2 linked regions of the Tribolium castaneum genome follow. The main gene of each other region encodes a partner of the protein of the gene in region 2 in a complex. Links are inferred from orthologs where the notes say so. Each region holds a gene or a part of one and is shown on either strand. Other genes may lie near its edges.

What was found. Proteins that work in one complex are often made in the same cells at the same time.
Region 1: the proteins of RabGGTb (region 2) and Ykt6 are in contact, whole or in part, in a crystal structure (PDB 6J7F), measured with the Homo sapiens proteins. The link is inferred for Tribolium castaneum from reciprocal best matches to the Homo sapiens genes RABGGTB and YKT6. Residues at the interface, in NP_004573.2 of Homo sapiens: Thr3, Pro4, Gln5, Lys6, Asp7, Ile9, Lys11, Tyr37, Leu45, Trp52, Leu236, Asp238, Cys240, Arg281, Gly283, Asp284, Met285, Asp287, Phe289, His290; in NP_006546.1 of Homo sapiens: Lys60, Gln62, Asp63, Leu65, Asn83, Glu84, Tyr85, Pro86, Ser87, Leu153, Asn155, Thr156, Glu158, Arg189, Lys190, Cys194, Cys195.

What each region holds. Positions count from the first base shown.
Region 1 is NC_087398.1:3,641,793-3,644,604, forward strand, and holds Ykt6 (synaptobrevin homolog YKT6), read left to right. Parts: upstream 1-1,340; 5' UTR 1,341-1,491; coding exon 1,492-1,681; intron 1,682-1,730; coding exon 1,731-2,002; intron 2,003-2,047; coding exon 2,048-2,185; 3' UTR 2,186-2,305; downstream 2,306-2,812. Other genes in the region: stc (protein shuttle craft), read right to left, coding at 2,364-2,812. UniProt on the Homo sapiens protein: Vesicular soluble NSF attachment protein receptor (v-SNARE) mediating vesicle docking and fusion to a specific acceptor cellular compartment. Functions in endoplasmic reticulum to Golgi transport; as part of a SNARE complex composed of GOSR1, GOSR2 and STX5.
Region 2 is NC_087395.1:14,839,389-14,842,237, reverse strand, and holds RabGGTb (geranylgeranyl transferase type-2 subunit beta), read left to right. Parts: upstream 1-1,161; 5' UTR 1,162-1,219; coding exon 1,220-2,221; 3' UTR 2,222-2,331; downstream 2,332-2,849. Other genes in the region: lipase member H-A, read left to right, coding at 2,382-2,550. UniProt on the Homo sapiens protein: Catalyzes the transfer of a geranylgeranyl moiety from geranylgeranyl diphosphate to both cysteines of Rab proteins with the C-terminal sequence -XXCC, -XCXC and -CCXX, such as RAB1A, RAB3A, RAB5A and RAB7A.

The sequences.
Region 1 (2,812 bases), on a different chromosome or scaffold from region 2:
TTGCGCACAATTGAACCCCGAAAATGTCCTCACTGTGGTGGCGCTTCACCAAGGCCCACTCCTGAGGGGCCCCTTGCAGAAGCGAAGAACACATTGCCATTTCACCGCAGGTTACATCAGCCCCGAATTCTTTACAAATTCGTCTGAACGGTAAATTGCCAACTGTTGTTAAAGGGCTCAAGACTAGTTTGTCCCTCCAGTCGATTTTTTTTTTTTTCTCGTTGAGTCAATTTAATCAAGTCTTCATCACTAATGGCCCCACTTGTTTTATTATCGTCCTAAACACCCAAATTTAAATAAAACGAGTAAAAGTAGTACAAAATAATTACACTTTTCTTATTGTCATTGAATTTAATTAAACTCTCGGCGAAGTCAAAATTATACGTCCGTTTGCGTAACGCGACTTGTAGTTCGTGCGTTAACTGATTTTTTGCTTGCGCTGTTTCTACCAATTTTTCCGAATTGATTTTATTTCGGCCTTGGTCAATGTGACTAGAACCAAACCTACAAGCCAGACCTCTGCCACACCGTCCGAAAGTTTCATAATTGTAACAAATCTCTCCTAAAACCAAGAATTAAGCCCAAATTAATGCACAAGCACAAATAAACCGATATCTTTTGGCTTGATTTTCAAATATTCGTCAACGTCGTGCAAAAACTGGCAATTTTTGCGTTCACATTTCGGCGCCTTTTCGCCAATACTTAAGTTAATCAAAGTGTTACATAATTCCGTCTCTCGGGTGCACCTAAAAGTAGGACCGCGCGATTTATTCTGACCCCGTAATTTTTTCTTTTCGCTTTTTGATAATTTGGGTTTTTTTTCGGGCGGTGTCTCATCGTTTTCGGCCAATTTGCGTTTGTCTTTATCAGAAACGCACTCTAATGCCAATTCTCTTGGACGTTCTGTGAGAATAAATCTAAAATAAGGGTGAAATGTGGGGTTATATCACGTGGGAAAATGAGCAGTCTTACTCGGGCTTGATTTTGCAAATGCCGCTGTCCCCCATATTACCCTACTTGCGGTGTTAATAGAAATTAGACGTGTTGGTCAAGCATTAATTAAAATCTTTAATTATTTAAAACTTTTATCAAAATTGACAGCAGTAATGGTTGTTGGTAACCGTGTATGGTTTTGGTTACCAAAATTTTGGAAAATACAAGTTATAAAAACGGGACAAATCAGTTCAAAGCGAAAATCACGGGTGCTGTTATTTGTAATTTATTCTCTTATATGATTCCGTTTTTAATTATTATCCTATTCAATTAAAATAGGAAAATAGGAAGGTTGGTTGACCTGGCTCAACGTCATCCGTCAGTCAAAAATTATCACCTGTCAAATTTTATTATTCGTTCGTGTTTATTGGCAAATTATGTTTGTTTAATTGCTTTGGCGTAAATCCTATTCGTGATTTAACTTTTAGAAAGCTCAAGAAATGTGTACGATGGCATGTCTTATATAATTCCGTTCTAATTCCCGAAAAATCGTTAAATATGGTCAAGTTATACTGTATTAGTGTTTTGTATAAAGGACCTACGAGTGCAACATGGTTAAAATCAGCCTTTGACCTACAAAGTTTCAGTTTTTTTCAACGGGGATCAGTGGAAGAATTCATGACTTTTTTTTGTAAAACAATCGTCGAGAGAACAATACCAGCGTCACGACAGTCCGTAAAGGAAGGAGGTTTTTTCCACAAGCATTTATTTACACAAATAATGTAACACTTTTTCAGAGTATATGTGTCACGTTTATGTGAGATCCGATAATTTAGCCGGCGTTGTTATATCAGATCACGAGTACCCAACACGGGTCTCACACACTTTAATTACAAAGATTTTGGACGAATTTAGCCAAAAAATCCCGGCTTCAAGTTGGCCCAATTTAACAGAACGCGAAGTGGCGTTTCCGCAACTCAACACTTACTTATCCAAATACCAAAATCCGCGCGAAGCTGACGCTATGACTAAAATTCAAGAGGATCTCGATGAGACTAAAATAATTCTAGTAAGTGGTTGTGTCAAATGACAATTTCCACAACTAATTTTCCAGCATCACGCAATTGAAAGTGTGCTTCAACGCGGCGAAAAGCTGGACGATTTGGTGTCAAAGTCGGAAGGTTTAAGTATACAGTCAAAGGCGTTTTACAAAACGGCTCGCAAAACCAACAGCTGTTGCACGTTTAGTTAAATCATTCCTTATTTACCCCAATTATTTAACAGCCTGGAAGTTTGGATGTTCATATATTATTCCTACTAATAACCGTTAAATGTTGAATGTATATTTACGACAATAAATGTAATGACCGGATTTTTACAAACCAATTTATTAACCTTCAAAAATACTAAACATAATACGTTATAAAACATTACACTGGGGGGTTATCGAAATAATCCACGGTCTCTCCTGATGGCGTTCCCCTCTGCCCCCTTCCAGGCAATTTCAAGGCAACGGTCTCCGACTTCCCCAACGTCCCTTTGCTCAGAACCGGCCCTGGAACCTTCCTCTGCCCATTTTCCCTCTGAATAAACTCCAATAGACTCATACTCGGCAACCACGACTTGTCCTTAAAGGCAGTTGCAACGATATTTCGGTTGGGTTCCGCATCGTAGGCGGCGCTTTCACACCCAAAATGCTCACAATACTCGTGCACGAAATGTCTCTTATCTCTGTTCATTGACTCAAAAGAATACGAACGACTCTTTTGTTTACTCTGCTTAGCCAATTGGACCAACTCGGTGAGCTTTTCGTGCACTTTTTGGCAAAACTGCGGGTCTTTTTTCGCCCAATTTCGCATAAAATCGGAGTAACGAGGAG
Region 2 (2,849 bases):
TGAGAATTTTAATTATTGTACTTTAATCGATTTTGATAGTTGCATGTCTACAATTAAAAAAGATACGGGTAATAGCTAAAGCGTGTCCTGGGAATTTCTTCGTAAATTTTTATCAAAATTTTTATATTTAAAATGAGGTAATAATAAGAAATTAAAGCGGCACCCAATCAAAAAATCGTCTGCAGCGAATATTATATCTGGTAAAAATTTCATCAAAATGGCTTATGAGATCTCAAAATCTCCTAAAATACACAAAACGTGAGGCTAACTTGACTTGTGTAATAGCTGTAGGAATTTCAGGCAACAAACCTTCAAGGGACTCGTTTTTTTTCGTAGTCTCCTCCTCGATGCCCAATTAATTAACATTTTAATTATCAATTATACCAACGCAAACTCGAGTTAGAGGGGAATTCGCGTTTTAAATAACCCTTCAAAACAAAGTTTGTTAATTAAAAACTCTGTTTGAAGAGACGACACTGTCAACTTTTTCATGACAAAAAAGCTGTAAGAAGAGGAAAAAATGAAATATCAATCTGACAGGCATGGTTGATATTAGCGAGGAAAATTAATTGTGTAAGAGGTGGCTTTAGCGTGTTGGTGGAAAATTTTTCCTGCTCTTCACACTTTCACGCAATTTTGCCATTTTTCAGCACCTACAATTGGAACGAATTAATTTGCATTATTTAACTGACAACGAATTTTAAACAAGTGAAAAAACACGCTGGAACCTTTGCTTTGAGGGACAATAAAAAGCCAACATGTTTCGGTGTTTTTGTTGGAAAAGTGGAAAACATGGACGAGGATAGGGATGCATAAAATTTGCGAAATCAATAAAAAGAAACGCAGAAAACTCGTCTGAATTCGTGTTATTTATTTCGTTATATCTAAAGTAATCGCCAGTTGTTTCCATTATCACCACTGAGAGAAAAAAACTAAAAAATTCCCATAAATGGAAATTTTTGAAACGAAACGAAAAACAGTGAAACCTGTACTATTATTACTTTCGTCTTCGCAATAATCGATTAATCTGACCGCATTTATGATTGAATGCTACCTTGGTAATCAAACTACTGGTTACTTTCACCGTTTGACTAGCAATGAGGTTTTCAAAACGGGCGGCAAAAATTTTGAACTTTTTCAAACTGTCAGTGTTGCCAAGCCACCGACCCCAACACGCCACTTGTCATCTTGACAGCAAATATTGTGGTTATGTTTGACAATGGCAACACCAATAAAAGACGTGATTTTGAAAGAAAATGCGCCAGTTACGATACTTTTCGACAAACACATCGAATTCCTGCGGGACTACGGCAAAGACGACAACAATTTCGAGTTCGGTATGACGGACTACCTCCGCGTTTCCGGCATGTACTGGGGCTTAACAGCGCTGGAGCTCCTCGACCAGACACATTCCTCGCCTCAGGAAGAGATCGTCACTTATATCAAAAACTGCCAAGACCCGGAAACGGGCGGAATCAGTGCGTGCTTGGGGCACGACCCACATTTGCTCCACACTTTGAGCGGCGTTCAGATTTTAGCAATGTACGACCGATTGGACGCAATTGATGTCGAGGCTGTTGTGAAATACGTCAAGTCGTTGCAACAACCCGACGGAAGTTTTACGGGAGACAAATGGGGCGAAGTTGATACGAGGTTTTCGTTTTGTGCGGTGGCCACCTTGTCTCTGCTCAAGAGACTGGACGCTGTTGACGTCGACAACGCCGTGAAATTTGTCGAGTCTTGTATGAATTTCGACGGAGGGTTCGGCTCGCGGCCGCTGTCGGAGAGCCACGCGGGGTTGATTTACTGTTGTCTGGGGTTTTTGTCAATAACCCACCGTCTTGACTTGGTGAAGAGGGACGTTCTAGCGTGGTGGCTGTGCGAGAGACAGCTACCGTCGGGGGGCCTCAACGGCCGGCCGGAGAAGCTCCCCGACGTTTGCTACTCGTGGTGGGTTTTGTCCTCCTTGACTATTTTGGGGCGACTTCATTGGATAAGTGGCGAGAAATTAAAAAAATTCATTCTGGCGTGTCAAGACACCGAAACTGGGGGCTTCGCAGACCGGCCTGGCGACGTGCCTGACCCTTATCACACTGTTTTCGGCCTTGCGGCCCTATCGCTGCTCGGCCAAGCCGAAATCAAAAACGTCAATCCCACTTACTGTATGCCGCAACACGTTATTGATAGCATGCAACTATCGCCTCAAATATTACGTGATTAAAATTGATAGATCCAACCTTATATGCTAATTTTGATAAGTTTTAGCCCGCACGTGATTTTAATGTATATTGGTTTAATTTTATAATGATAATAAAGCCGATTTCTAAGTGATTTGTGTTTTGTTTGGACTGCGGTCCGCATAATTGATTTTGATGATTTAGGTCGAGCCCGGTGTAGCCATTTTCAAAGTGCCTGCTTTTTCTCCACAACTATACGGAAAACGAACGCGCATTTAGGGCGGCCGTGTGTCACCACCTGCCCCAAGAAGTCCTCAAATTGGGGGTACTTGCCCGGGAAGCCGGTCCCCATGGGAGAAGACACACCGTTTGGGTGGGTATTCAAGTCTTACTCATTATCACTGCTTTCAAATTAAAACTAGAGTCTCAATAACTTTTGATATTGAGTAAATATTACTTCAAACAAAAACAGCTCAATTAGTTTAGTTATTTATTTAGTAAATTTTTAAATCCCCTTAATTTTTTGAAACATTTTTGAATAGTTGGCGCTTTGTTTTCAAATCAAGGTTGATTTTTGAGTTTTGATCCCAGTAGCCCCCAATTTTATACAAATTTAATAAAAAAAATGAAATATGATGATTCCAAGGTAGTGTAAACTCGTTTAAACTACTT